2 linked regions of the Nothobranchius furzeri genome follow. The protein of the gene in region 1 interacts with the protein of each later gene in a biochemical or structural test. Links are inferred from orthologs where the notes say so. Each region holds a gene or a part of one and is shown in the gene's direction. Other genes may lie near its edges.

Evidence for each region.
Region 2: the proteins of rxfp3 (region 1) and rln3a form a complex in vitro, tested with the Homo sapiens proteins (2 studies listed by BioGRID, with this or other methods). The link is inferred for Nothobranchius furzeri from reciprocal best matches to the Homo sapiens genes RXFP3 and RLN3.

Annotation. Positions count from the first base shown.
Region 1 is NC_091746.1:59,471,966-59,488,634, forward strand, and holds rxfp3 (relaxin-3 receptor 1), read left to right. Parts: upstream 1-5,954; 5' UTR 5,955-6,162; coding exon 6,163-7,410; 3' UTR 7,411-10,817; downstream 10,818-16,669. UniProt on the Homo sapiens protein: Receptor for RNL3/relaxin-3. Binding of the ligand inhibit cAMP accumulation.
Region 2 is NC_091752.1:53,617,071-53,633,109, forward strand, and holds rln3a (relaxin-3a), read left to right. Parts: upstream 1-1,571; 5' UTR 1,572-1,712; coding exon 1,713-1,872; intron 1,873-2,474; coding exon 2,475-2,761; 3' UTR 2,762-3,174; downstream 3,175-16,039. Other genes in the region: il12rb2l (interleukin 12 receptor, beta 2a, like), read left to right, coding at 4,722-4,794, 8,769-8,913, 8,989-9,140, 10,868-11,007, 11,138-11,285, 11,546-11,622, 11,699-11,936, 12,718-12,906 and 6 more. UniProt on the Homo sapiens protein: May play a role in neuropeptide signaling processes. Ligand for LGR7, RXFP3 and RXFP4.

The DNA of each region.
Region 1 (16,669 bases):
GTGAATGTTCTAGAATGACCATCTCAGTTCCCAGACCTGAATATTATTGAACATCTGTGGTGTGAGATAAAGAGAGCTGTCCATGCTCAGGGGCATCAAACTTGAATACACTAGAGATGTTTTGTAAAGAAGAATGGTCTAAAATACCTTCGGCCAGAATTCAGACTCTCATTGGAAGCTATACGAAGAGTTTAGAGGCTGTTATTTCCACCAAACCAATTTTGAGTTCCAATAACTAGTTCTACAGGTTTTGGAATCATTAAAATGACAGCAGTGCCCAAATTTATGCACCTGCCTAATTTTGTTTAAACAATCATTGCACTTTTTGTTAATCCTATAAACATTGTTTCCCTTATCAAATATCACTGTGTGTGCCTCCTATATGATATATTTAATTGCCATTTTTTGTCATAACAACCAACGATTTATAAAGAAAAGTTATGAAAATTAACAAGGCTGCCGAAATTCTCCTATCCCACTGTATTTAGTTAAAACATCACACAGAGAGGAAATAGGTCTTGCATTCATCATGCATTGGTATGTCTTGTAAAGTTAAACTAACACAGGATGAATAATAGACAAATTATTACGGATATTCTACATGCATTCACAATCCTTTAATTAAAAGTCAGAAAACTGATGATGAAATGCAAACATGAGTGCAGTTTTATCATTTAGCATTTCGTTATATTAATGAAAAATCTTGCTTTTCTGCAGGTGACTTTAATAATCGTACATATCAGCGTAAGTCATTCAGCCAAATCCAGCAGGAGAACTGAAGCATGTCAGCACTTTGGAGGAAATAAACCAGCAAAGTATGAAACACAAACAAAACACATGAGAACAGAGTATGCATCATCTTAATAGAAAATCAAGAAGTTGTATTCACTTCAACTACCTTGTTGACATGAGACTGGTTGAAAATTCTGTTTAATAATTAAGACAGAGATTTGTAAAAGACAGAAGGAGTCTGAAGAGTTTTTGTGTTTTCCAAGAAAAAAATCAGTGAGGTTCTGAACTATGTTGCTCTTCAAAATTCAATTCTATTTCATTTAATTTAGTTATATAGTGCTCACTTACTAGTGCTAGATTCCATTTTCTGCTTTAATCACTTGTAATCTGACATTTGGTTTGACAGGCCAACTGGATGGAATACCAATAATTAAATCCTCTGGTTTTTGAGGTTACGGATTTGTCCGCCCTCTGCAGGGACAAAACTGTTATTACAGGCAGCGTTCATAATGCTAAACTAGACATAACTCAGCAACACTTCCTGTGGATTTCTTCAAAATAAATTATACTACTTTAAATGACTGCAGGTAAACTATTTCACTACCAAAACGACAAATATATTTAATTATCTGTGGTCAACACAAGTAACTCAACAATCTACAGCTGGAGCTATTAGCAGCTAGTTACAAAACAAATGTATATAATTTTAAGGATTTTTATTAAGATGAGGAGGCTAAAATATTCTTAAAAGGGCCAGATCATGTTATTTAAAGCCTTTGAGAGCAAAGGTAGGCAGAGTATATAATGAAATCTTATTGTTGGCATGATTGAGATGTCATTTTATCTTAAATATGAGTTATTTTAATCAGCCTAAATTTATACTCAGAAATGAAGTGGTCTGTTTCAGTAAAGCTCCAGTCACACCCATTCCAACCAAACACACCTACAATGGTGTCTTGGGCAAACCAACTGTTGTGTTGTCCTTGGTAGTCTAGCAGTTAAAGCAACTGCCTTTCATCTTTTGCTGTGTCCTCATGCCAGTTCGACTCCTGGTGTGGGTAGTAATTTATTTAGCCAGCTGAAGCAGGTTCCATTTTTAAAAAATGTTTTAGTTTTATTGATTATTTTCTGCAAAATATTTAGTGTCTTTAAAGATCTTTGAATTTAGTTATTTCCAAGCAGTATTGTAGTTGATACTCTGCTCACGTCACATGGACTCACACAAAGAAAGTAAAAAAAAATAAAAATTTAAATTGTTATTATATTTTAAACTGTTTAAAAAGCTGGCAGGTGTAGCTAGGAAATAAGAAAAAATGTTACTGCTGAAACTGGGAGTCAAACCGGTGTAAGACACCATGAAACATAGGTACTCTAACCACTGGGCTACCAAGTCTCTTACAAAGTGTTAAACACATGTTCTGTCCTAGCCATTCACTGTGGACAGGATGCATGTTTTTTACAGCAGTGTTTTGTCCCTAATGAAGAAGTCATTTGTCAGAACATCCACTCTGGTACAAGTGGAGGTTTAAAGCAGTCATGTAACACAAAGGTCACATTCTAAACTGCAGCACGAAATCAACCACTCTATGCCTGCAACTCGGAGAAAGTGGGCATTACTGACTACTTCCAAGAAAGGTGGGTTCCAGATTGCAGCCTAGCTTCAGGGGAGGAGCAGGGCATAATGATGTCCTTGATTTCCATCGAGGCTTGTGGCTGAGACAGGAACAGGAGTATGATTGCAGCCAAAACAGGTTTCGGGGTAATTTTAATGAGGAAATGTCAATAACACATTGTAAAAAGCTCCAAAAAGTTGATTTCCCATGATATGGTCCCTTTAAGCAGTTGTAGATAAGAAAATACCACATTCGGCTGTGCACAACCACCAATTATTCCTGTCAAACCTTTCTTGAGACCTCATTTTAGATCAAACTGCACAAAACACATATGTTTCACTTTAAATCCTGCAAAAGTTTCCACCATAACGTCTTGCTCTTGTGCACTCCTACAGACATTAAAGATGGCACTCACCATCCTCAGCCCAAGGTTACAGCATTTCCATCCTCTCCATCTGTTTGTTGGCTCAGCATTCCCTCATCAGCTGACAAGACACTTAGACAAATCACATTTACTGTCAAACTAAATCCTCTTGACCTGAAAAGACAGAAATAACCAGAAATTCTCAGAAAAAATGTGTGAATGTGTGTGTGAATGGGTGAATGACTGATTGTGTTGTAAAGCACCTTGGGGGGCTCGAGGGCTCTAGAAGGCACTATATTAAATACGGGCCATTTACCATTTCACCATTTAATTTGAATGCACACCAGAAACAAGCAAATGTGCCTTGAAACGTTTTCATGCACCTGTTGATGTTGGGTATCCAAGACCCAAGGGATCCCCACAAAATAGTCTGTGCTGTGGTTGTCAGGTTAGTGAGATGTATTTTTTATTACATTTATACAATCCCAATAACACATCAAAACTCCATAAAAAGCTATAAGTTAGCTTAAAGTTTGTAAATGATCACGTGTGCGTGTAGGAGTTGTGTTTGGGGTTCCTGGCTAGTCTTGGACACAGGCAAGGGGGTCCTATAAAAAAGTTTGAAAACCACAGCTTTAAATGAAAAATCTTTGCTTCAGCTGTTTATTTGTAAGGGAGTGTGGATTATACACACTTCTGTGCTGAAGTTGGGAAATAAAGCAAAGACTTCTGCCAAAAATATGGAGAACAGCTGCTCTGCTGCATGCACTGAGCCTATAAAAATCCAGACAAATTTCAGAGTCCCCCAGCCTCTCGTTTTTCAGGCTTGATGATCCCACCACAGCTGTCAGACAAACGTACATTTCAAGGTGACTTTATTAATACAAAAAAATTAGATTTATGCTTAACTGGTTAACTTTAAGCAAATGCTGATTCAAGTCCCCATGGGAGTTCTCTTGGTTTCACCTTTCCCTGATGATGCCATGACATATCAAATCAAATCAAATTTATTTATGAAGCGCTTTTCATAAGAATGCAGCTCAAAGCGCTTTACAATATTAACAACAACCAGACAGCAGTCGGTTTCCCACTCCTCCCACACAGATTCACATACAGGATCCGCTTTGTATTTCCCTCCTCCCACACTCAATCCCATCCCAAGCACACACACACACACACACACACACACACACACACACACACACACACACACACACACACACACACACACACACACACACACACACACACACACGTAAAAGAGAAAGGGCTGCTGGCTGAGTGTAGATGTAGTAGGAATAAATCAAGACTGCACCGGGAGCAGCAGGATCGGTAGCAGTAGCCTGGGCAAGAGGAGGCACGAGAAGCACCCCAACCACCACAGCCAACCGCTGCCCCTGGGTCAGCCGGCCCCCACAGAGGAAACACTGGTTTACTAATGAGACTAAGATAACAAGTTAAGAAACAAATTAAACATAAACAGCTGATGAATAAAAATCTAAATAAAACACACAGATAAAAGATAACCAAGCAGAAACATATAATTAAATATATAAAAATATTGTACAACAGATTATTAATACTGGTTAAAACTAATAATTATTACAAGTTAAAAAAATATATAAGAAAATATGCGTCATTTAAGTAAAACACTAATAAAATACATAAAAGATGGTAAAACAGGCTAAAATAGATCAAAATCACTGAACTATCGCTGTACTAAAAAGGTGAGTCTTGATCCTGGTCTTAAAAACAAGTACACTCTCTATGGCCCTGAGGTCCTCTGGCAGACTGATCCAGAGGTGAGCGCCATAAAACTGGAAGGATGCCTCGCCTTGGGAGTGTGTTCTGACTTTTGGAATGACGAGGAGATGGCTGTCAGAGGAGCGCAGGGACCGCGAAGGCTCGTATTTATGAAGCACGTCTGAGAGATAAGAAGGCCCAAGACTATTAAGACATTTAAAAAGATTAAAAGAACCTCAAAATCGATCCTGAAACATACAGGAATCCAATGTAGCTTGTTTAAGACACGTGCAACGTGCTCCTGCCTCCTGGTCTTCGTCAGGACACCAGCTGCTGAATTTTGCAGGAGTTGTAAACCTGAGGTACTCTATTTGGGAAGACAAGATAGCAGGGCATTACAGTAATCAATTCTATTGGTGATCAAAGCATGCATCAGCGTCTCTGTATCGGCCAGAGAGAGAAAGAGGCGGACTCTGGCGATGTTTTTCAGGTGATAAAAACCAATTTTTGCAATGTTCTTAATGGTGGGGATAAAAGTTAGCTCAGAATCAAAAATCACACCCAGGTTCTTCACTTGAGAAGACTTCGGTTTTGTCCAGGTTAAACTGGAGAAAGTTTTCTGCCATCCAGGATTCAATATTCGAAATGCAATTAAAAAGGGCATCAAATGGTTGTGCGTCATCGGGAGACACAGAGATGTACATCTGTGTATCATCTGCATAACTGTGAAATTGTACTCTGTGTAGTCCGATGACATCACCAAGTGGAAGCACAAGCATATACAGATTAAAAAACACTGGGCTGAAAATCGAACCCTGGGGCACACCACATGTAATCTCAGGGGTCTTAGAACAGAAGGTATCTAGACTTATCATAAATGTCCCGTCTGTGAGACACAAAGTAAACCATTTATGGATGGCACCAGGGGCGGCGTTAGGCCCGGCTACTTGGGCTCAAGCCCCGAATGTTTTATGAAAAGACTAAGTGCGTGTTACGTGTGTATGTGCACGCACGTGCGCGCGCGTGTGTTACGCCCCGGATCTTTTTCAGTCCTAAATCCGCCCCTGGAGAGGCAGATGTGTTTTAACCGGGTTAAAAGAATGTTGTGGTCCACTGTATCAAAGGCAGCACTTAAATCCAGTAGAACCAGAACAGTTACTTTCTGTGAATCAAAATGTATTCTTAGGTCATTTAAAACTCTTTAAAAATATGCATGCCATGCGTGTATACGTGCACGCGCTCGGAAGACGCTGGGGAGGATTGGAGAAGGGAGGGAGAGAGAGGGAGCGAGTCAAGTGGATTTAAAAACAGAAATTCCAGCACAACATCATCAATGGTTTCCTAAAAGCCTCACAATGACAGCTGATGACATTAGAAATGATTATTGATGCGGCTGTTTGCTCCCTCGTGGCGCCTCAGCCAAGGAGCGCCAGGTTGCGCCGGAGCGCTGCGTCAGGAGCTTTTTTTTTTTTTTTCGCTTCTCAGTTTTGGAGACACACTCAAAAGCTCAGAGTGATGACCTGAAGATCAGCTCCGTCTCTTCTCCGGCAGCATTTCATTAATCTAAATGAACAAGTTAACGCCTGAAGTGTGTGTGTGTGTGTGTGTGTGTGTGTGTGTGTAAAGGTTGTTTTATTTTTTACCAACACGGATTTTTGTTTTCCCGGAAAGTGAACTGGTTGGCGTGACTTCGCTAAATATGTTTGATGGATGAAAGATAACATGTCAGGAGAATTTAGTGACAGAAATGAGGAAGGCTCCTCCGGGACGGTCCTTTCTCCATCCTTCAACTCCAGCTGCGTTTTCAACAGCACCAACTGCTCGCACCGGGACTTCCACATGTCAGACTTTGGGAAAGCTGAATTTGTTGGAGATGGCGCTGCTGTCGTGAGGATTACTATCTCCGTCATTTACTCCCTGGTCTGTGCTCTTGGTCTGGTGGGGAACTTACTGGTTTTGTACTTGATGAAGTCCAAACAGATGTGGAGAAAATCCTCCATCAACCTTTTCGTGACAGGTTTGGCGGTGACCGACTTCCAGTTCGTCCTGACACTGCCGTTCTGGGCAGTGGAGAACGCGCTGGACTTCACCTGGCCCTTCGGCAAAGCCATGTGCAAGATAGTATCCTACGTGACAGCCATGAACATGTACGCCAGCGTGTTTTTTCTCACGGCCATGAGCGTGGCGAGGTACTGCTCCCTCGCCTCTGCGCTCAAAGGAAGGCGGCGGAGGACGCACTGTTCGTCCGCGCGCTGCGTCTCTGTGCTCATCTGGTTCTCCGCCGTCTCTGCCGCGCTGCCGCACGCGGTTTTCTCCACCACCGCGACCTTTTCCAACGAGGACCTGTGCCTCGTCAAATTCCCAGAAACAAACGGCTCGGCGCAGTTCTGGCTGGGACTCTACCACTCGCAGAAAGTGCTGCTGGGCTTTTTGGTGCCGCTGGGGGTTATCTGCGTGTGTTATCTGCAGCTTTTGCGGTTCATCACCAACAAAAACATCAACACATCGAGCGCAAAGCGGCGCGCCAAGGTCACCAGGTCTGTCACCATTGTGGTTCTGTCCTTTTTCCTGTGCTGGCTGCCCAACCAGGCGCTCACTGCCTGGGGCATCCTCATCAAACTGAACGCGGTGCATTTCACCTATGAGTACTACACCATGCAGGTGTTTGTGTTCCCCGTGTCCGTGTGCCTGGCGCACTCCAACAGCTGCCTGAACCCCATCCTGTACTGCCTGATGAGACGGGAGTTCAGAAAGGCGCTGAAGAATCTCTTCTGGCGCATGACCTCTCCATCTGTGACCACCTTAAGACCAATCACTGCCTCAATAAAGCCGGAGCTGGACGAGCGCGGACACGCGCTCGGGGTCGGTAACGCACCGGCGGCGCTGGACGTGGTGTTTTATCCCCCGGGGGCTGTCATTTATAACGACAGGCGAGACCTACCGCAGAACAGCACTTAGCGCCATGTGAAGACCTGGCAGCTGCGCTGATGGGGAATTATGCGCACCAGTCCAAGTGAAATACATTTTAACGAAAATTAAAGAGAAAACAATGTTGGATCAATCACCAAGCTCCTATTTGTTCACATAATGAACACATCCAAACTTTCAACACTTAGTTTGTCTTTTGTTCACTAGAAGCAGCTAAAACACCCACTCTGTTTTTTTTAATGTGCTGTTCATTCAAAAATGTCACAAATGTTTAGTAAAGCTGTCAGTGGAATGTTGGACACCTGCTGGTTCTCCTCTTTGATCAGGATGACATTCCCTGTTGAAGAATTTCATGTTCCAGATTTAAAACGAGGCCAGTTCCACAGAAGACTGATGGTTGGTCACACATCTCAACAAGACAGCTGAGGTTTCAAAAGCTGTTATTTCAAATAAAGAGTTGGACTGAAAAAAGACGCTATTGTGCAAGCAGGATAGCTTCCTTCCTGTGCTTGAATTTGTTTTGGGGCATATAGTTATAATATTTTTATTTTTCATTCTAATTTGGGCAAATAAAGCCTATATAACATAAACTAAGGATTTTAACATACAGCAGTCTAATGTTCTCCATTTGGATTTATTTTTTATTTAGTTTTTGCTCAAAGGATGTTTAAGAAATTACAGGAATTAAATGAATTTCAGCTGACCTTCTGGCTGAAAGGTCAAATAACACATTTGGAAAATTAATTGAAAAAAAAAAAGGATAATTATTCAAAACCTTTTGTTTAATAATTAACCTACAAAGATGTAAATGCATCCTTTACACCCGCTCATCCGGGCAGGGCTGGCGCCTATCCGCTGTCTGGCCAAACAAACAAATACATCCTGGACTTGTCAGTCCATCACTGGTCATGCAAATAATATTTCAAAATGAAGTTAAACACAAATAGTTATTTGACTTATGTAAAATGTGTCATCTTTTATTAACTGAGACAAAGCAGGAATTCAGTAGAAATAAAAAAATAATAACAGAAGTCAGAATTTGATCTGAGCTGTGCAGGAGGAAGAACTCACATTCATGTTTGCATCACTTGCATCCTTTTCTTTTTAAAGGCATGAACAACTCTAAATAAACCCCGGGCAACTTAATAATAATCTACAAATTACAGATGGTATATTTTCTGTGACTCAGTTACATTCTATGCATCCATGCTTGATTAATCAGCATTTATTTTGCCCATAGAAGAAAAACTGGTTGAAGATCCAAAGCGAATGCAGCAAAATTATGGAATTTAAATATGTCAGTGTGTGTTTAGTTAAAAGCTAATTTGCTCTATCTGAGTGTTTTTGAGAGACAAAGTCACCAAATAGAAACACAAATAAATGTCAGCTTGGATTCAGAAACTCATCATTGACCCTCCTGTAAAACCCAAACAAGCAGTGCAAAGGAAAACAGCTTTGATTGTTCTTTGGCACATGAAAGCAAGGTTAATTTAATTAGAGAGAAATGAGGGAGACGGTGTGTGTGTGTGTGTGTGTGTGTGTGTGTGTGTGTGTGTGTGTGTGTGTGTGTGTGTGTGTGTGTGTGTGTGTGTGTGTGTGTGTGTGTGTGTGTGTGTGTGTGTGTGTGTGTGTACAGGTACAGGACCAGGCTAATAAATTGATACAACAGAGCAATCTGTCATGTGGGTGATGAATGTCACATCAATCCAGCCCCCCCAAGGAACCCCCTTTTGTGGGATTGAACAGCCTAAATCAAAATTAGGATTAGGAATTCAGATTCCAGAGTGAATTTTCTTCAGGGGATTTACTGATGTTCACCCTTCTGACTGTGCTGATGAGGAGGCTTTATTTGTCAGAAATGTTGAGAAACAACAGAAAAATAAATCTTTAATAAAACTTCTCCTTTGTTCTGTTTCATACGCGATCCTGCTTGTTTTTGTTTCCCCTCCGGAAAGGAAGCGTTGCCGCTTAGAAGTGAGAAACACTCAAACGCGGTGGTTTCAGATGCTGCAGCTGTCACTGCCAGAGTCGCAGTGAGCTATTACACGTTGTCAGGGGTGAGAACAAGCCTTGTGAGGCGAAGGATCACATTTGGAGCCTGAGAGCAGAGATGCTGTATAACGAGGGGCAAAGAAAGGTACCTTCATTCTGATCCAGACTTTAATGAAGAGAATAGTGTCCTGTAGCTCCCACCATCACCCCATTTTTCTTTGTCTTCTTGTGCATTAGATTTTCTGACATCAGCGAAACCTGCTGGTCCATTCTCCGGCGTGCAAAAGGTATATTCTGTGTTTTTGACATACAGTAGGATCAAAACTTAGGGCAGCCTTGTTAATCTTCCTGATTTTCCTGTACACATCGTTGGTTGATACGATAAAAATGTTCACTTAAATACATCATATACACAGTGATACTTGAGAAGTGAAGCAAAGTTTATGAGTTTTTACAGAAAGTGTGCAATAATTGTTTAAACAAAATTAGTCAGGTGCATAAATTAGAAAACAAATGAACTCAGTATTCAGTAAATCCTTCTTTAACAAAAATAACAGCCCCCCTTCCTATAGCTTCCAATGAGAGTCTGGATTCTGGTCGAAGGTATTTTAGACCGTTCTTTACAAAACAGCTCCAGTTCATTCAGGTTTAATGGCTTCCAGCATGGACAGCTCTCTTTCCTTCACACCACAGATGCTCAATAATATTCAGCTCTGGGGACTGAGATGGTCATTCCAGAACATTCTACTTTTTCCTCTGCATGAATGCCTTAGTAGATAATGAGCAGTGTTCAGGGTGGTTGTCTTGTTGACAGATCCAGCCCCGGTGCAGCTTCAGCTTTGTCACTGATCCCTGGACATGCAGAATCTGCTGATATTGAGTGGAATCCATGTGTCCCTCAACTTTGACAAGATTCCCAGTCCCTGCACTGGTCACACAACCCACAGCATGATGGAACCACCACCATGTTTTACTGTAGGTAGCAGGTGTTTCTCGTCCATGCATAACGCCCCTTGTTATTCCCAAATGACAGTTTAAGTTTTATCAGTCCACAGCACCTTATTCCAAAATGAAGCTGGCTAGTCCAAATGTGCTTTAGCAAACCTCAAGCAGCTCTGTTTGTGCTGTGGGCGGAGAAAAGGGTTCCTCTGCATGACTCTCACATACAGCATCTCCTTGTGTGAAGTGCACCGAATAGTTGAACGATGCACATAGACTCCATCTGCAGCAGGATGATGTTGTAGGTCTTTGATGCTGGTCTGTGGGTAGACTCTGACTGTTCTAACCATTCTTCACTTTTGTTTATCCCAGATTTTTCTTCTTCTGCCACTTGGAGCCTTAACCTGAACTGTGCCTGTGGCCTTCCATTTCCCCTTAAATACGCTTTCTCATAACAAATGAATTCTGAGTTCCAATAATTAGTTCTAAAGGTTTTGGAATCAATAAAATGGCACTTCCTGTAAATCCTATAAACTTTGTTTCACTTCCCAAATATCACTGTGTGTGTCTCCTATATGATATGAAATGAAATGTTTTATCATAACAGCCAACGGTTTATACAGGAAAGTCGTGGAATGACTTTAAGGAATGTAATTTTTCTTGGCAATTCTTTAAAAAAATGAACTGAACTTCTAATAATGAAAGAAAAAGTTTAGGGGTTTGTTTTGAAGGTATTTACAGCTTTCTTAATCATTTTGAGAACTGCTAAAACAAAGCAGGATTTGATAAAGGAAAAAAAATTCCTTAAAGGAATACTTCTCATCGGCTGTCTTTTGTGATCGAGTTTTAAACTAAGACATGTAGGGTTATACTCATTCACCTTTGACCTTTTGCTAGGATATGAAATGTAATGAGAACAGGTGAAATTAAAAAATATAAGTAAAAGTTTATTTCAGTAGTTCAACCTAAAAGGTGAAACTAATTTATGAGATAGACTCATTAGATACAAATCCAGATATGTCAGCCTTTATTTATCATTGTGATGCTTATTCTTACAGCTTATGGAAACCCCTAACTCAAATTCTTTAAATATTCTAGGCTCACATCCATGGCTAGTTCCTGAGCTTCAGATGACTAGCAAGATTGACTTACAGTAATGTGTTTTTATATAATAATAAAAGAACAACAACTTAGTCTCAAGTTCTTTATATAATTGCAGTGATTTAGTAATAATAATGTCTAGGAAGCAAACTCCACATCCAGCATATTTGTTATTGCAACACTTCAAACTTGGCTTAAGTCATCTGAGGTGAAACTAACCCGGATAAAGAAACAACAGGTTAGATAAGGAGCTGGATTTTTGAGACTGACAGGGACGGAAACAGAACAGTGAGTGGTGACTCATCCCAAGGAGAAGTGATAATCTTCTACCAAGACGCTGCACAGGCTGAGCTGTGTCTCCTTGGTCCAGGATAAAGGGAACTGTAAGGCCATTGCATCAGAAAAAGAGGAAAAGGGCTGAAAAGTTTCCTTGGAAAACTTAAAACTTAAATGAGACAGAAAATGTAAAGTTTGCCTACCATCTGGCAGAGAAGACTGAGGCTTTATAGCAGGAGATAATTACAGAGGAGCAGCTGGACACCCAGTGGACAAGAAACTCCTCCCTAAAGTTAAACAGGGAGCAACAGGATGAGATGATTGGAAGGTTTGGAAAATAGACTGATACTAATTTCATCCACCAATTGATGCCATCATGGAATAGAACTGAAATATAATTTTTACAGTTTTTTTCGATTGCTAAAACTCAAAAATCAAAAATGAGGCACGAATTTTACAACCTCTACTTCAATTCCCAATCGCCTGACTCCATTTATCACTACTTAAGATTGCCTTATCATATTAGCTCTCTGATTGTCCTCCTTTACACTCTGATGTCAATTTCACATCACCATGCTGTCAAAGCACAGCACACAATTTTCACGTTTACACACACTTGTCAAACAAACTCTCAAAGCTTCAATCAACAACACACAAATATTCAAATCTCTAAACTTTCATGTCTGGTGAGCAATTTGCAATCAGGGACTGCAGCATAAAAGTAAGTTTCCACAAGGCTACCCAGGTGTATGAGCGGTTTCAGGACCACCCACGGTTTTCCATTTTATACCTTCCACCTTATTCCCCCTTCCTCAATCCCATTGAGGAGTTTTTCTCAGTCTGGAGGTGGAAGGTGTACGAAAGGAATCCACAGAGCCAGGTCCCACCGCTTCAAGCCATGGAGGAGGCTTGGAGATGTGGCCTTTGAGGCCTGTCAGGGCTTCATGAGGCATTCGAGGCAGTACTTCCAGCGCTGTTTGGACCAGGAGGACATCGCCTGTGATGTTGATGAGGCCCTCTGGCCAGACAGAGACCAGAGGCATGATGCCCCATGATTATGCTTGAATGGGAGAGGGGGTGGAGGTGGTTACTGTAACTGTAAAAATAAAATGTTTTGTCTCAAAATTTGTGTGATGTCTAATGTTTGTCTCAGAGAAAAGTGGGCACTGTCATACATTCAGTGTGTAATTCATTGTGTTCCCTTTAGACAATTGTGTTTTCAGTTTTGCTCTTCAGTGTTCTTTCCATGCTTGGTAGTGTTCACCCAAAGGCTACCTGTGTTTAAGCAATGAATGGTATGTGTGTGTCATGTGAAAATGTGGCTGTGTTTACCAAATGAAAACACGTGTTCCATTTTGGGAACATGTTACGATATGTGATGGCAGGGTTTTGTTGCAAAGGGAAGCCACGGTTTAGCAATTTGTGTGTTATGTTTGGGGTTTTGTGTGTGCAGTTTTGAAAGAAACGTACAGTTTTGAAAAACGTGTTTTAGCAATCGAAAAAAAACTGTAATAATCGTGGAAAATGAATTCTGAGATCTACACACAAGAAAATGCCAACCATGGAGTTCTGATTGCTAAGTAATATACAAAAGATATTAAAGATGTATTTAATCAGCATTTGCAGAATCATGACCTTGGATTTAAAGGTGCTGAACCACATCCCAGCCAATTCACGCACAGCTGTGAACCTCCCCAGCAAAGGTTGACGGTTACTAATTCCATTTTTGGTTCTTTTTAAAACACAGGAAAGGTTTTTCTTTACTTTGCTGACGTACGTTTTGTTTGCCGACCAAAACACTCTCAGAGCTACGCTGATGGTGGTGTCACTTCCTACTCCGTTTATCCGCGGGCAGCAGAGGACGTTGTCGCCCTCTGCTGCCCAATCTCCCTTCTCCGATGATGCAGTCCCATGCACGATCCATTGACTAAACTCCATTGTCTCTGTTCATGGTCTCACATCCACGTCTCCTTATCTTGATTGCTTCCTTTATCCATCTTTTGTATTTCTGTTGTTCGCTGTTCATGATCCTTGTGTTGTCCCAGTCCATTATATGGTTTTCTCTTGTGCAGTGATCTGTTATGGCTGACTTCTTTATTGTGCTTTCTGCTTCTTGTTTTGCTGCTCTTCTGTGTTTTCGACTTGTTTCTTTCTCGCACTCCTTTCTATGTTCTATTGTTCGTGTGTTGAGTTGGCGTCCGGTTTCTCCTATGTATGTTTTATTGCAGAGTTTGCATGGGATTTCATAAATGACTCCACATTTAAGTCCAGCTGGTAGCTTGTCTTTTGGGTGTACTAGTCTGTTTCTAACTGTTGTGTATGGTTTTGTTGGTGTGTTTATGTTGTGTTTTTTCAATGTTGCTTTTATTTTTTCTGTTATGCCTTTGATGTATGGTAGAGTTATCACTGGTTTTGGTTCTTGTCTTTCTGTGTTTCTGGTTCTTTGCTTTGGTTGTTCTTTTCTTTCTTTTGTTGTTTGTTGTTTTCCTTTGTTTATTGCCCATGTCGGGTATCCCCAGGCCTTTAAAGCTTGTTGTATGTGTTTGTTCTCCTGTTTACACTCTCCTTCTGTTACCATGTTTGCTCGGTGATATAATGTTCTGATTACTGACATTTTGTGTATGGTGGGGTGTTCTGATGTCCATAATAAATATTGGTCTGTGTGTGTTGGTTTCTTATATGTATTTATGTTTAGGGTCCCGTCGGTCTGCCTGGTTATTTTCATGTCCATAAATGCTACACTGCCATCTGTTTCCATCTCATGTGAACTTTATGTTACCTGTGTCGTCAATGTTATTCAAGTGTTGTGTTAGTGTTTCTGTTTGTCCTTTTGGTATGATTTCCGGTATGTCGTCTGTGTAGCGTTTCCATAATTTTATTTTACAGTTTGGGGGAGCGGTGGCTATAGCTTTTTGTTCTAGGTCTTCCATGAAAAACTCTCACAGGGTGGCTGATATCGGGTTACCCATGGCGACGCCTTCCAGTTGTTTGTATATTGTGTCATCGTATGCAGAGGTGGGAAGTAACTAATTACATTTACTTGCATTACAGTAACTGAGTAGATTTTTTGCGCATTTACACTTTTTAAGCAGTTTTTAAAATCTGTAATTTTACTTTTACTTAAGTATTGTTTTTTGTAAGTATTGTACTTCGCTACAGTTTTTATCTTATCTGTTACCGAGTAAAAAAAAAAACAACATTGCAAAATACTGTGTCGGCACGGTTCGCACTGGATTCAGACTCAGACACCACAGAGAAGAGAGGAGAGTATACACACATACATATGTAGAAGCGTCTTAACGTACTCGAGAGTGATCCAGCGTTTAACGAAGTGTCTATGTATGTATATATGTTTATACTGGTAAGACCCAAACACGGAAGTGCTGCGGACGCTGAAGGCGCGCACCAGAAGAACTGAGTGCTTAAGTTACGAGAGTGTTGCGGGGTACGAAGGAAAGGATAAGAAACACTAACTGACTATTTGGATGACTGGAGGATCACCTAAGATCAAAGCTTGTGAGAAGGAATGAAGGGATGTCTGAGCGGTCAACAGGTGAGCTGAACTTCTTAATGTGAAGCATGTGTTCAGTGACCTTACAGTGCAATGAACGATGGGTAGGAGAAGAAAATAGGCGCTAATGGTACGAGAAAGACAGCCTGGCCTGCCAGACTCCTGTTTAATTCACGTCATACACGGCGATGCTCAATTTCTCATAAACAACGAAGACAGTGGTGGAGTTCACTGTGGCTCTTTCCTCTGTTCTAAATGACACAGATGTCTTTAAAACCACAAGTAGAAGCGCTAAAAGCATTTCTTATAAAAAATAAAAGATGTTTGCGCCATTGCCAGATGCTATTTTTTTACTACAACTAGAAATCTACCGCGTCGTGGTACAGTTGGGATTTCCTTCTTTTTTCTGATTGGTCATTTTTGAGCTTCCTAGTCCCGCCCCTCAAGTGATCTTCCAGCTAAAAGAAAAACTCAGCAGACTGGAGACTGTCTCCAAGATGTGTCTGCCACTCTTCAGAGCCATTCAGGATGGTGTCCAAAAGCACTTTGGTGAGATGATGGAAGACCCTGAGCTGACTGCTGCTGCAATCCTTCTTCCAAAGTTCAAGACCACCTGGACTGAGAGGCACGATATCATTGAAGCAGGTAATATTTTATAATTTAATATCATACCTTAATCTGTTTCTTATTCATTTCAATCCTGTCAACATAATTAAAGTTCAATTATACGAGTCTGTTGACACAAATTATAGTATTTGTAAGGTATGTATTACTAAAAACAATTCTTGTTGCATCTTCTATCAAAACGTAATTACCAGATATATTACATATGTGTTATGTATTTGTCATTCAACAGGTTTGATCAATATGAGAAGACATCTTCACCAGATGGCAGAGGCTGGGGCGGAGCAAGTCAAGCAACAGTCATCACATCTTACCCTCATCTTTGTTTAAAAGTGCGTTTCAGTCCATCGGTCCCAGCATGCTCTCTATAATTAATGCTTCTCTGGTTTCTGGTCAGGTCCCTGCTTACTTTAAGAACGCTGTAATCCACCTGCTTCTTAAAAAACCGAGTCTCGACCCCTCTCTCCATAGCAGCTTCAGACCCATCTCTAAACTTCCGTTCATCTCCAAGATCTTGGAAAAGGTTGTGGCTAAACAACTCACAGCTGCTCTTGATGAACATAACATCTATGATAGCTTCCAGTCAGGTTTTTGTAGAGCTCATTCTACTGAAACAGCTCTTCTTAGGATCTCTAATGACCTTCTGACTCACAGTGATGCAGGGGACTGTTCTGTCTGGTCCTGCTGGACCAGACTGCAGCCTTTGACACTGTTGACCATCACCTGATACTGGAGAGGCTGAGAGACTGGGTAGGCCTTTCAGGATCTGCCGGGGGGGGGGGGGGGGGGGGGGGGGGGTCATTCAGGGAAAAGTCATGGGCTTGTGACTATAACCTAATTTATGTT
Region 2 (16,039 bases), on another chromosome or scaffold:
TCCCTTCCCTCCTCCTTCCCTACGCTGATTGGCTGAGTGCTGCCGATATGTCTTAAAGTCACAGTGTCCCCCCTTTTTTTTTAAGTCTTCCACACCCATTTGTATTTTCCACAAGTTTAGTGGATGTTTAATCAGTAAAACAGTAGATATGTCCTTATCAGGGAAGTGGACAGTTGGTAGGGATGTTTAACCTTCAAAGAAACTTCTAAAGCTCAACATCACAATTCGTAGGCAGTGAGAGTTGTGGCACTTAACAGGACATAAAATGATTGGAAAGACAGGGAAAAGACTTTAAAAAACAGTTAAATTATACGTTTTTGCAGGATGTTTATCCCCTGAAATTTCTGCAAAATCATAATTATTCTACTCCTTAAATTCCAAGCTGTTTTTTTTTTCAAGACAAACAAGCCTTACAATCAAATAACCATTTGTTGTGTTATTTCAGTTCCCTGTGAGAATCATGGCAAAATGTGTCGTTGTGAACCATTTTAACATTTAATTTAGATTTTTAGAGACAACAGGACCTCATATTTGGTGTTTCTGGACACACAGTGAGGTCCTGACCCCACCTTTGGGCACCACTGCCCTAAGGAGCAACTTAAGTGAGTTGGGACGCAACAGAAAACCAAAGACTGATAATTAAAAACTTTAACATTAGTTGCAAATGATTTCAAATTATATTACATTTATATTAATAAAAGTACAATTGATTAAATTTTATATTGCCACAATGACCTATGTGGCAATATGCTAATGAGTGTCAGAGTGACCACCCTACCAAAATGCCATTTAGTTTGCTTTTTTTATCCTTGCATTCATTACAGATTCACCATCTTTATTGTAATTTCCTAAACGAGTGACCTTTGACTATGTGGATAGATAAAAATGTGTTTTCTGTTTTAGTGACTCATAATGGGGTTTCTATGTTATCTGTTTCTGAAAATGTCACAGGACCTGTCTCAGCCCCTCCTGTTCACCTTTTGGCAAAGGGCTAACAAAAGAGAGAGAGGAAAGGGAAACGGAACTGTCTCAAGCCATTTAGGGTCAGGTGTAAATGAAGGATGCTAAACTCAGAGTGGTAGTAAATCTTATAATGGTCAAATTATCTTTAGCTTTTAAATTAATTTATGTTGCTAATCTTTTTGTATGATTTTTGTTTTAAATATTAATCACGTTTTTAATTCTTAGAAATTAAGCAAGTCGACATTTAAATCATGTGTATTTGGGACCAATTATAAATAGTAAATTTAAATGTAATTTTGTCAAGGAATTTACCTAAAAAAATATTATTTTACATATTTTTTCTAAGTTTTGCTCGTGTATTTTTATGTTAGTTTTGATGATTTCAGAACATTTTATTTATTAGGGTTTTGATGTATCTGAAGAAATATTCAGGACAACTAAAGGTGACTATTATACGTCACACTGGAACACATTTGTTGATTAGGCCACTTTTGCTCATCGACATGTATACGCTTTTGCTCTGCCTTTTGTTTGCATAAAGGTCTCTCATCATATCTGTCTTTAAAATCTCTCTCTTTGCAGGAAAGGCCTGCATGCGCAGTGTGAGCGTCTGCCATGCATGTCTCCAAACTCCTTTATAAACCACCACTGGGTCACCTGCAGAGTCACAGCTCAGGCAAGCAGGGAGACTGAAGCAAATTACCTTTTCCTTGTTAGAATATTAGTCTATTGCATTTGCTTGTTGCAGCATGTGGAAAGCTGTGGTTCTGGCCATGTGTCTGATTGTGGCTGAGGCTCAGCCCATGGAGGATCCGACGTACGGTGTGAAGCTGTGTGGCCGAGAGTTCATTCGAGCTGTTATCTTCACCTGTGGAGGTTCACGGTGGAAACGATCACTCAGGGGTCCAGGTAAGAAGACAGAATATGCTGTTCAGGTGTGATGTGTCAAATTTACAATAGCAGCCCCCCCACGCACCCCGCACATGCCTAAGTAATAGTCTTTTCTTTTCTTGCTATTTATTTTAAAAGTGGTTAAAATGTGTATGTTCATTGTGTTAAAGTAATTTCTTTCCCACCTATGCTTTGTGAACTAACACAGCACATGTTGTTGGGCTGCTAGCTGTCAAAAAGTACACATTTTTGCTCGATTTTCTACCAAAACAATACAAAATAAATTTAAAAACGCTAGTGGAGACTAATTATAGGACTTTCTTCTCACAAAGAAACAATGCAAATGATCAATTTTTTACCTTTTTTTTGTAGTGGCTCAGTTAAGATTTGAAATAACTTCCTCAAATTAAGGGACTTTATGTTTGACACTAACCCAGTCACTTCCCACTTTCAAAATCTGAGCTGCTGTTTCCTCAAAACTCTGTATAAAAGGATTTTATGTTCACTTTTTCTCTCGTGCCATTTTTATAATGTTTTAACAACAGTATACATCGACCAGTTATTAAATTTGTTATAAAAAATAATTCTGCAGTGTTTGATTTTTCATTTTTCCACTCCAGCAGATGTTCCAGAGGACCCGTTCAGTTCCCATCAGGACGATTCTTCAGAGGGTTTGAATCCCAGTTTTTCAGTGGAAAGTCTCCTCCAGAGGAACAAAGATCTCAGCTTTACACCCAGAAACAACCAGGAGGGGGTTTTCAGCAGGTCGACACGCTCTTTCATCACTGACGAGATCCTGGAGGCTCTTCGTAAAGCTGACCGCAAAGGTCGGGATGTGGTGGTGGGGCTGTCTAACGCCTGCTGCAAGTGGGGCTGCAGCAAAAGTGAGATCAGCTCTCTTTGCTGAGGGTTGGCTTTGGAAATCTGTGTGCTTGCAGATGATATTTTTACACCAATACTTCATCATGCAACAAACATGGACGTTTATTTTGACTTCTACAGAACCTAAATCAGTCTTTTTTTTATGAGTGAATCTTTAAGGATTTTGGGTCAAATTTCTTCCGCTGATGGATGAATATCACTAAAAAGTGTATTTTGACTTCAAACCAATTAAATTCCATTGCTGCTGCAACTGTTAAAACCTTGATGTCATAAATGTTTGTTAAAACTGCGGCATAAAGTCACTCCTGTTCTAGGTCTACCATTATTGATTGCAAACATTTTTTATTTTATTTTTCTATTGTTTCATGTAAGAGAGAATGCTTATAAATTCAAATCAACAACAATAAAACTGTCACAAAACTGTAAAAATCTTACAAACATGTTTCTGTGTCTTTTTACCTCATTTTAAAAATGTAACCTCACAAATCCCTGATCTTCATTTAAGGATACTGGATTCTTACAATTTTAGATTTCATTTTTATCAACTTAGTTCACAGAGCTTTAATTTGAAATATTTACATCTTTATTATAACAATTTGAGAAATAACAATCAGCATTTTTTCTATTTTTAACTTGATCCATAGAATTCTGCAGTTAGTAATTGAAATAGGACTAGATACATGCACTGAGTCAGTATAACCTACAGCAGGGATGTCCAAACTTACAAGAAGGCCAGAATCATAAAGTTAAAACTCCTCATGGGCCACAAAAATGTACATTTTTTAGGAATGCAAATTTATAACTGAAAATATTAAAATATATGAATTTATGTCAATCAATCAATCAATCAATCAAAGCTTTATTCATAAAGCGCCTTCCGCAACCCTGTCAGGAAGCCCAAGGCGCTGATATCAACAGTCTCCTGGGGAGACTTCCACAATTCTAAAATTGCTAGTGAGGGCCGCAAATGGCCCCCAAACCACACTTTGGACTCACCTGACTTAGTTTTTAAAGACTGCACATCATTTATTCAGGTTAACACTTTAGAAATCAGTTTTTGTTCTAAAATATGATTTTACCTTTCACACTGTTTATTTGGGGTATTTTTCATAGATAAAGAAATGTCTTTGTGACAGGCAAGTAGTTGTGTCATAAACTGACTCAACAGTGGTTTGATTTAGAAGCATTTCATGTCTGAACGGTCAATGTTTTTCTGGCTTGGAAAACATAAGTCATCTGAAAATGACTAGAAAGCTAAGTACACAGAAAAACTGAAGCAATGATCATTTAACAACTCGTACGGTACGTTCTAATATTCTCCCTTTAAACAGGCATAAAGAAAGGTGGAGATGACTGATCACACGTTTTACGTGACTAAATGAAAGTAAAACTTGAAAGCGTAACTATTGTTTGTACTCATTAACACGGTTTCAGTGCCAGTGTACGTCATCCGTTTAGTCTATTTATGTTTTTAAATGATAGCTCAGTGAAATGATGGTGAAAACAAGCACGCCTGTGCTGCAAAAGCACGTTCAAGACGTGCGGGAAGCTAGAGTACAGAATCTGCAGCATCAAAGAATACAGGCACGCGCATGCGTCAGCGGCATTTCCTGGAGTGGGCGGGGCTAAAAGCTCACAACGGGCACGAGCAGAGAAGGCAGCGTTAGTTTCACAGTTGTGTCTCTATTTGTCTCGCAATGAGGTAAATCTTTTGTGCTCATCACGTAATCCTACCAAAGTTAAAGCTAATTGTCTGACTACTTATGTTTTCGGTTTAGCAACACTGTTGCGACCTGTTGACAACCAGCGCGTGAGCTTGTGAATCATAAACTTTCTGATGGATGCAGACGCTTCATTAAGCTGGTTTTTAATACTCAGAAGCTTCCAACTTGTTTCCTTTTCGCTCTCTAGACGTTGTTTATTATTGTCTAGAACGCGGCTACATGTTTTCTTTGTCTTTTCTGTTGTTTACAGACACAAATGTAATGGCCACACCTACGAGGAGGTGGCTGCTGCCCGTCTTGCTGGTCATCCTACCGTCTGGTTATCCTTCCTCTGGTAGGTCTGATGTTCACCTAGAAGCTAGTTTAGTCACGTTTAAAATGTCCCATGTGGTGCCTTTACAGGTAACATTATAAACTTTAACAAGCATAACACTCTACAACTTCTGTTGCTAACAATTAATCCTGGTTTATGTAAAAAGTTCATCAGATCAGAACCAAATCCTCAAGAGCAGGTGCCTTTCAACCATTTAATTACAAAGAGCTATATGCATTTTACAGCAACAAGCTTCCATTTATTGCATCAGATATTTAAACGCCTGACAACGTCAAACTTACTGTTTTATTAAAGTTGCACACCAAATATTCAATTAATCATTCTAAAAACATTTTTATGTAGATGCTTACAGTTTACTTTGAATGTAGTGAAAAGGAAGTGGTCTTTAGAGAGGAGTACACTCATACAGACAAGCTGCATATTTCCTGTTACCATTACTCACATTGCGCCTTCTTGTAAAGTCTGCTTTGCAGCTATTCAACCAGAGCGTAGGTTTATGAGAAATGGGTAAGGTGGCAGGGCTGTGATATTGAATTTTTTTTTAAAAAAAGTGTTTTTGTGTGCAGGGACAGGTAGATGAGTGTTACTGAATATAAAACCCTTTGCTGTTTTTTGTTATTTGTGGTTAAATGAGACCTATACTTTTTTAAAAGTTATTGTTCTATGGTTGATATAAAACTTTTTTTTGCAAACAATCATCTCACATAAACCCATTTCAGCAGTTTTATTTTTGACATTTTCAGTACCTTCCACAATGAACCGTTTCAGAGTTATATCACTTCAAGACAATAAGCTGGCCATGCCCACTCACCCCCTGATAGGTTGGGGGTTTTACAACACATGAAAACGGAGAATGACGGATTCTAGTCCATCCATCTCAAGCCCTACTGCTTCATTTTCCTCTTTTTCCCCTGTCACTGAGAACTGTGTGTCCAAGCTTCTCACGTGCAGCCGCCCTACTACATGCCCACTCTACCCCATTCCGACTAAGCTGCTCCAAGCTATTGCTCCTACAGTAGCCGCAGCAGTCACACATGTAATCAACGCTTCACTGACATCCGGTACATTTCCCACCCCTCTCAAGCATGCTCAGGTTAAATTGCTGCTAAAAAAAACATCTCCTCCTACAAATCATGTGGAGAACTACCAACCTATCTCTCTCTCCTCCCTTTTCTGTCCAAAGTCATTGAAATGGAGGCTTTCAAGCAGATCACAGAATACCTCTCACAAAACTGTCTGCTTGACCCTTACCAATCTGGGTTCAAAAAGAGCCACTCCACTGAAACTGCTGTTAGCAGTGACGGAATCTTTAAAAGAAGCTAGAGCGACTGCCAAATCCTCGGTGCTTATCCTCCTCGACTTATCGGCTGCATTTGACACTGTCAACCATGGCTTCTTTTTGTCCACACACTCTAGCATGGGCATCACAGAGAAAGCACATGCCTGGTTTGAATCGTACCTCACAGAACGATTATTCAGTGTATCTTGGCTTGGACAATCCTCTGCTGTGCACCATCTTGCCACAGGTGTCCCCCAGGGCTCTGTACTAGGACCTCTTCTCTTTGCCATATACACTACCTCACTGGGTGAGATCATTCGATCACATGGCTTCTCCTACCACTGCTATGCAGACGACACCCAGCTCTATCTGTCATTTCCACCAGACGACCACACTGTCTCTGCACGAATATCAAACTGTCTCTCTGACATATCAAAATGGATGAAATCCCACCATCTCCAACTCAACCTCTCTAAAACTGAACTACTCGTCATCCCAGCAAAACCATCCATGCAGCACAATATTTCAATCCAAAATGACTTCCTATCTCTGGCTCCTTCAAAGGTAGTTCGAAATCTGGGTGTTGTGATTGATAAACACCTGACCTTTAAAGATCATGTTACCTCTGTTGCTCGTTCATGCAGCTTTGCGCTATATAACATACGAAAGATCAGACCATACCTAACACAACATGCCACCCAGCTCCTGGTGAAATCTACTGTCATCTCCCGCCTCGATTACTGTAATGCCCTTCTAACTGGTCTTCCAGCCTGTACTGTGAGACCTCTTCAAATGGTCCAGAACGCAGCAGCGCATCTGGTCTTCAATCATCCAAAAAGAGCACACGTCACTCCTCTGTTCATTGAGCTCCACTGGCTACTGCTAGCAGCACGCATCAAATTCAAATTGCTAACACTAGCATACAAAGTCCGAGATGGTACAGCTCCCATCTAACTGAATCCTCTTGCAAAGGCTTACATCTCAGCCTGGCCGCTCCGGTCATCACAGGATCATCGGCTAGCAGTGCCTACACCACGCTCAGGACAATCCAGACTCTTAACATTGTTCCACAAATGTGGAATTACCTACCAAGCACTACAAGAACAGGGGCTTCCTTTTCGACTTTCAAGAAACTCCTGAAGACCCTGCTCTTCAGAGAGCATCTTTTTAACTAGCAACTTCCTTGCACCCATCCCCCCCTCTACTGTCCACTCCTTGTTCTCTCCTCTTCATGATTCATCGCGCTGCCTCACTGCCACCTACCACTGACTGGAAATTGTTTGTTGTTGTTGTTATTATTGTTGTTGTTAGCCTCAAGGGCAACATGCCGATTATAACTTGTAAGTCGCTTTGGACAAAAGCATCTGCTAAATACATAAACAGAAACATGACCTACTTGTGACTTGCAAAGCAGACTTGGTCACACGACTGCCACACATGAAAGTGAGTTTAGTTCATTTATTTCATTTATTCATTTAGCAGACGCTTTTATCCAAAGCAACTCACAATTTATAACCTATAGGGCATGTTGTGATATCTGTGGGAAACCGGAGTACCCGGAGGAAACCCACGCATGCATGGGGAGAACACGCAACTCCACACAGAAAGGCCGCAGCCGAGCAGAGTTTCGAACCTGCAACCTTCGTGCTGCGAGGCAACAGTGCTAACCACTGCGCCACCATGCAGCCATTAGTCTTATTTGTGAGGAGGAAAAAAGATTTGTGTTGTTCAGATGATCCTAAAAGTATCAAACAAGGGACACATGTGGGCAAGTAAATCTGGCTTGATAGCCTAGAAATCTAAACATACCGTAGCAGGTCAGTCTAGCTACACTCTATTCTAGGTCTACCATTGCCCCGAACAAGTTTAGGTCTGGCCAATCACAGCACTTAATGTTTGTAGAGAGACGTTAGGTGGGTTTGGCACGTCAGTGAAACCTACAAAGATGGCGTCTGCTCAGTGACTGTGCTGTTTTGAAACGGCTTTGGCATCAACTCTGAACAATTTCGATTTGAGCTTTTCTTTGAGACATGAGCAGATAGAGGAAGTTTTATTTTGAAAAACTATATTTGCTCCGTTGACTGAGTTCTGCAGCGAGGAGTGCGTCTCACTTCTTGTTGCTCTAATTCAGGCATGACCAAAATGCGGCCCGGGGGCCATTTTTAGCCCTCTAGAATGATGAATTTTGTCTCTTCAATAGGATGTTTATTGCCGCTTTGTAACATACTTATGTTTAGATTTTTACTTATAAGCCTATTTTGGATTTATTTTGAAGAGTACAAATAAAAATTAATATAAAATAATGTTTGAATTTTGTAAATTAAGAAAATCACATTCTTGCCGTGACTGTTTTGGCCCTTGTCTTGAACAGTTTGGACATCGCTGCTGTAATTGGTCCTAGCACTGAGACAGTTTGAAAGAGCAAGCAATGACTGTGTGTTGTAGCCAGACCATGTGTACATGTACAGGATGGCTTACCGGACTACTGGTTTGGGCCACTTTAGCTTGGTTGCAGTGTGAACGTAGCCCAAGCTGTAGATAATCAAAAGGAACAATATTTATGTGATTATATTTATTTTCACAATAGAGCTTCAGAAATATTCTGTTTTTGTGACTCCTTCTGTCTGCAATAATTCCACTTTTGGTAAAATTTTGGGAAAATATGAAAAATGTGCTGCTTCTCTTGGTCTTTTAGGTCCCCCTGCTCCTCCGTCTGAACCCGAGTGCTACAGACCTTGTAGTTCACACAGCTGTTCTGTTATACGTTGTGTTTGGACTCCAGATCCAGAATCTGACCACTCCACTAACTACAGCCTTCACTGGGAGCCAACAAACACAGAGTAAAGCCCATTTCTTAACAGAGATCTTGCTTTAAGTTTCTTCTAATCTTATTTAGCCTTGTGCCTTTTTTCCAGTGATGATAACATTAAAGGGGGGAGGAGCTACGATGGGTTAATCCATCGTGAAAACTTCCGTAGCCATGGAGAACTTCGTGTTTGGGTCCAGGCTCAAAACCAGAACGGTTCTGCCAAATCTCAGGATGCTCTCATCGACACAGAGGCTATCAGTGAGTCAGCCCAGAACATTTATTCATTATCACCAAAAAGCAAAAGATCTTCAGTCATGTATGAGTGTTCAATAATAAAATATCTAATGAAAACACCAAAATAGCTCTAGTCACATTTACAAAGATTTGGCTAAAATGTGATGAGATAGTAGCTTTTTTATTTAAAGGCTTTACAGGGTATCCACGGGTCCTTAAAAAGTCTTAAATTTACTTTTCCAAATTTAAGGCCTTAAAAATCCTTAAAAATTACAAATAATTCTTAAATACAGTTTCCAAAGGTCTTAAAGTACCAAAGACCCAATAAACAAGATTCTTTTATTTCTATAAAATTTTCGTGAATTTCTAGTTGGTGTTCAGCATTTTGTGTATGATGTTGGCGTAAGCGGAACCGGACACATTCAGTATGTTGTGAAAGGGGGCTATTTTTAGATGAGCACATTAGCTGGTTAAGCTAGTGGGAGCTTGCGTCATGGGGCAGTGCAAGTTTAAAGGGGCATTATGGAAGTTTGACACCCAAAACATGTATAGAAATAATAAATTTCTTCTTCATACATCCTCCTGCAATGCCCTGGTCCTGTAGAATGAGCCCTGGCATTTTTACTGTGATTGCCTGTTTTTCTGTAAAATCACAGAAAAAGAGAGCTGCTCGGGTCGAGCAGGCTGCTTCATGCACGTTCACGCTCAGGCATAGCCCGTAGCATTTGCTATCCATAGCTTTAGCAGCAGGGAGTGAGGTAGTGCCAACTCAGCGACTTTGTCGCTGTTCCTAACGCCTAGTGATGAACCTAGCTACATTTCTGAGGACCCTTAGCTACTTTCTTCTAGATATTTCCTGCAAATTAGCAACGAAATAGCCATTTTTGCTTTGAACCGTTCTTTGAACGTTGTTTCAGCTGTCATCAAGAATCTAAAAGTTACAGATACATAAGACATTATTGGCACTGTAGCTCACTTAGTAAAATGTCAGACTCTCATGCAGAAGATCCGGGTTCGATTCTGGATGTGAACATAATTTATTTAGAATTTATTTATTACATTAATGGTATATTTTTTTACAGTAAGATGCCCAAATTTTTATTTGAGACTCGCCTAACGGCGTTGAATTCACAGATAAAAAAGATGTGGGTTCAACTTTCATTTTGGAACAATTTTTCAAGCAAGGGAAGGGAATGATCTGAGCATGCAGGAGGACTGACCCATCTTAAACCTTTGTCGGCTGTGCTGAAGAGAAAGGTACAGAACCAAATTATTTAATTAGTTAGCTGCACGTTCTCCTGTCCTCTGTCCTCCGGGCCACACACACACACGCACACGCACACACACACACACACACACACACACACACACACACACACACACACACACACACACACACACACACACAGGACTGTCTCAGCTGTTATTTTCGTTAAGGAGTGTGCACGTACAGCATGCTCGCCTCGTGCACGAGCCTACTATTGAAGCTGCTGTTACGGTTTTGGCCTGAGGGGGCAATCACGAGCATAAAAATTCAAAACTCCATAAAGTCCCTTTCGTGCATTTCTTTATGGGAACACTAAACTAAAGTAGTTTCAGGTGCATTAAAGACAACTCAGAACCATAATGGCTGACAACTGTAATAAAATGTTGCCACTTCATCTGTAAAGTATTAACTTTGGCCTGCGTAATATTTTGGATGTATGACTTGTAGGTGTCTGATTGTTGTCTCTGTTTTTCTGCCCCTCCAGAGAAACCGCCCCCTCCTTTGTTTTTATCCAACCATCAGGGTTCATTAGAGGTTACCTGGAGTGTTGCCTGTGTGCTGCAGCCGAGCCAAGGGACGTGTGAAGTCAGGTATCGTGCTGAGGATGACCAAGGCTGGCCTCAGGTCTGTTTCAGTGTTTCCTTTCGTGTGTTTTTACATCTCTCACGCTGTACGCGTCACCTGTTTACAATAAAGGGAAAAGTGCTGCAGTATTAAATGAGTGAATGAATGTAAACGCGTGTCGTGTTCTTAGGCTCAGTATGAAGATGGGTTACATAACAGCTTTGAAGTCCCAGATCCCCGGCCTGGCTCAGAATATGAGTTTCAGGTCCGTTGTGCCTGTGACTCCAGTCTGGTGAGTGACTGGAGCGAAATCTACAGAATAAGAAGTGCAGAAGCAGGTGAGGCTTTATAGGATTTAGATCCATATTCATATGATTATAAATGAGTTCTGACCGCAGAGCTTATACAGCTGTTTTATTATTTTATACAAGAAATTACTGCTTTTTTTAGTTAACCATTTCTTTAGACATTGATTGGACCCACATTTGAGTTTCCTGGTACTATAGTGGCAGGAATAGCGGCCTTTCCTTCAGCATGGATTGTGTTGCTCTCAGTTCACTTCTGAAGCCATTTTTCTGTCCACTTGTCTTGTTTTCAGCTCCAGTTGGAGAGGTGGACGTATGGATGGACTGTGTCACTCCCTTCTCAAGCTTTGATTGTTTTCTGACCTGGAAGGTAAATGTAAAAACCAAAACTAAAGAATGTTTCCTGCTAACACAGACTCATGCCGCTCTAAATCTTCCTCATCTAGAATCTTTCTATTTCTGAGGCGCGAGGATTCATCCTGGGATACCAAGTGACAGTTTCCTACAGTAACGGCACTGTGAAGCACATCAACGTGTCCACGGTGGACCCAAGCAGCGTCTGGGCGTATGATGAGATGAAGTGGTACCTAACCTCGTCTCTGAAGCGCGTGTCATCCGTTTATGTATCAGCCTACAACTCCATTGGTACCGGAAACGCTTCTCATCTGGTCGTACCAGAACCAGGTAGCAAGCTTTCAGAATCCATACAAGTATGGAAATCTTTGGGTCAAAGACCCGGATCACAATTCATCTTCTGGATAAAAGTAGCAGAAAACTGGTTGTAAAGTTTCAACAGCTGACATGACTGACATCAGACTAAAGACCTGATCAATGTGTACAAGTCATTCAGACATCAGACACAACACGCTCTGTCATGCATTCATATAAGAAAAAGATGATCTAACAGGAGTTAAAGCAGCACAGCAGTAAACAAAACAACTCTTCAGAGAAGAACGTTTCCGTGAAGTCATTCACTGCCAGCCGTTTCCTGATCAGAAAAGCCCTTCACAGCCAGCGTTTTTACTGTTTTTTTAAGAGTCACAGAACGTTGCACGCTGGGATGATGTCGACGCCAAAACAACCAAAACAAAGCGGAGACTCACCTCTTACATCAGGAAGAATCCACGCGTTTCGAGCGTTATCCGTTGTTGAATTGTGATCAACAGAAGCTTTTCCGGTTCGCACCTCACTTTTTCTTTTTTACAGCAGCGGCCCAAAACGATCTCCTAACACATGGATTTTCTGCTTCCTGATCACGTGACGTGTGACGTACGCAGATGAAGCTCTGCTTTAGAGATGGGATGTTTGTTCTCACGGTGCGGGGGCTCGTTCCGAGTTCAGTCGTCGTTGGCAGTGAATGAGTTAAAAACGGAGAAAGAGCAGTTTGTTGTTGGTGAAGACTTTTCTTTGGCCATTTGTAATAAAACTCTTTTAATGGCACTAAAACGTTTTGTCTTCCTCCAAGGTGAACACACAGATGATCAGATTATTGACCTTCAGATGACTGAAGAGAACCTCACTGTGTCGTGGACGCTGCCCCCCCACTTCCCCGACAATGTGAAACATTATGTGGTGCAATACAGGGAGTGTTGGCCTGGCCGAGGCTTGGACTGGATCAAAGTGGACAAGAGCCGGAGGACCGTTTCTTTTAAAGGTCTGCGTTGTTTCTAGATGAGACGATGCTTTGTTAGACAAATAAGTCACCTCTTAGTTTAAATACTGATAAAAGGTGTTTGGCGGTTTCAGACTTGTTGTTTTACTATTGCTTGTGTCTCCACCTGTAGGGGTGTTTAAAAAGTACACGTCATACCAGGTGTCGTTGTTTGTCGTGTCGGATTCAAACCAGATCCGTCTGATTTCAACAGCCGTCTCGTATTCTGTTCAAGGAGGTCAGTGAGATCCACGAAAGCCCTTTCAGCTGGTATAAGTCCATTTTCATGTCTGCTCTTCTCTGGTTTCCCATCAGTTCCCTCTGCGGTGCCGTCGTTTAACGTTTCTGTTATTGCTGCCACTGATGTGACTCTGTTCTGGGAGCCTGTTTCCTGCTCCAAGCGGAACGGGAAGATCTTGCACTACCAAATAGGGGTAGAACACGCAGGAACTCAAACAGGTACAGAAGTTACAGATGCATCTAAAAAATGTGAATATTGTGGAAAAAGTTCAATATTTTTTCTCATTTCAAGGGAAAAAACTCATAAATAGATTTATTACACGCTGAGTTCAATATTTCAAGCCTTTGCTTCATTTATTTCTGTGTTTATGGCTTACAGAAAAGGAAAAACCAAAATCTGTGTCTCAGAAAATTTAAATATTGTGAAATATGTTGAATATTGGAAACCCACCTGAAACACCTGCAAACGTTTCCTGAGCCTCCTGGTCTGCCTGGGCCGATGGAGAAGATGAGTGACTGGACACGTGTCCAGAAGTGTCCACCCTGAGAGGAACCCTCGGAAGCTCCTTGCTGAAGAAGTTGCTTGTTAGGGAGGGTTGCATCCGAGCGTGTTCATAGAAAGTTGAGTGGAAGGAGAATGTGCACCAGCAGGGAGAACCGCAGCCCTGAGAGGATGGTGAAGATAAAGCCATTCAGGAATGTGGAGGAGCGTCTCCAGGAGTGGACGGGTGCTGAAGTCTGAGCACCAAGAGCCTGTACGCACAGACTAGTCCTACACACGGGCTACAGGTGTCTCATTCCTGGTGTCGGTTTACTCCTGAACCAGACACGTCAGAAACATCTTCTACCTGTGCTGAGAACAACAGCTGGTTGGTGGTCTAAAGTCCTCTTTTTAGGTCAAAGTAAAGTGTGCAGGTCTGTTGCAAATCAAAGTCCCACCCTGAGTATAGAGGGGGAGTGGAGAGGAACGGGATCCTTGTTGCTGGAAGTCCGTGTGAAGTTTCCACGGTCCGTGATAATGTCGTCTGCTGCTGGTGGTCCTCGCCGTCTTCTGAAGTCCAGAGTCAACGCAGACATCCAACAGGACATTTTAGAGCTCTTCGTGCTTCCTTCCCCTGACAGGCTTTATGGAGATTCTGGTTTCATTGTCCAGCAGGACTTGGCACCTGCCCACACCACCAAAGGTACCAGAAGCTGGATCCATGATTCTGGTGTCACTGGGCTGGATTGGCTGCCAACTGGTCTGACCTGAACTGCCGATGGGGAATCTATGGAGGAGGATGAGACACCAGACCAAACCATGGAGATGACCTAGAGGCTGCTATTAAAAGCACCTGGGCTTCCATCACACCTCAGCAGAAGCACAGGCTGATGGGTTATGCTGACCCTAACCCAGGCTGGTGGCCTCCATGCTGCACTGATGCAGTAATTCATGCAAAAGGAGACCCGACCACTTATTGATGCATGGAATCAAACCCTTCAGAGTCCCGAAATGTGTGTTTAAAATATTCCTATTGACCTTTTGTAATTTTCTGAGACACTGCATTTACTTTGTCAACCACAGCCACTTTATGTAATCTGTATCAGAAAAAAAAATCAAGAAATCAATTTGGCGGATTTAATATAATCTATAGGTATAATTAACCAAAAAGGGCAAACGCAGCAAACCTGTGTTTTTCTCAAATGGCTGCAGAAGTAAATGTGTTCATCTCACCAGACGACATTTCTCCTCTAGTGTACAACGTGAGCGTGACTCCAGATCATGGAACAATGACCTACAAGCTTCCCGGTCTTAGTCCAGGCAGGAAGTACAAGGTTTGGATTCGAGCTGTGACTGCTGCTGGGCCCGGCCCAAACGTCACCACGACTTTAAAAACCAAGCATGTGGAAGACTTGGGTATGACATCATCATGAATGGAATGTGTTCAGTTATAATAATGGTTTTAAATGCTGATAGAATCTGTTTAATGCGTTTTTTCTTCAGGTCATGTGATCCACACCCTGGTGCCCGTTGGGTTTCTGTTGGTCACAATTATTTTTGTTGCACTTTGGTAAGAAAATCAACCTAAACTTGTCTCTGAGTGGTTTGATGTATTTGGTAAAAACAAAGGCTGACCAAAGTGCCGTTCATAAGAACCAAGATGAAAACAAACTGATGAAAGAAATATATGAGCACAAAGGTGTAAAACTATTTAAGATGAGGCCATAATCAGTGTCTCACACTGGGTCAAAGGTCATTGTACATCTCAGAGACTGAGGTGGCTGCAGGAGATCAGAAGTAGGAGGGGCAGAACTGATAAAAGACTCGAAAACAAATAAAATAATTCGAAACGTAGTTTGTGGGTGAGATGGAAGCCAGAGTTCTCTTCATCCTGTACAAGTTAAAAAATCAGCTACAGGTGAGCAGCTGAAGATTGTAAATGGGGAAAACAAAAACTAAACAGAATTTCTCTCTCATAGAACAAGGCTGGATTATTGAATCAGCCATATTTGATAATTGCTTGTTTTATTTTGAAATGGCCTCTTCGACTAATGGTCTCTGTCTTGTGTCTGCTGCAGTGTGACCAGAGGACCGAGAAAAGTGTGTCCTGTTCTGCCTCAGTGTCTGTATGAAAAAGTGCCCGATCCTAGCAACAGCCACATCTTTAAACACATGAGGCATCAGGTGAGAATCTTCAAAATCCTTTTGTTAGATCATTTCTAATCTAAACTCAATAAATGTACTTTTTTAAATTATCGCTCTCTAGATCAGTGAGCCCTTGAATTGGATCTGCATTCCCCTCTATGAGCCCAGTCCCAAGATATCTCTTCTGGAGATCGTGGAAGTGAAGTCCAAAGCTTTAGGCCCCGACAGATTAACGCGGTCAGTGCTGGAAAACGACTGTTTACAGATGAG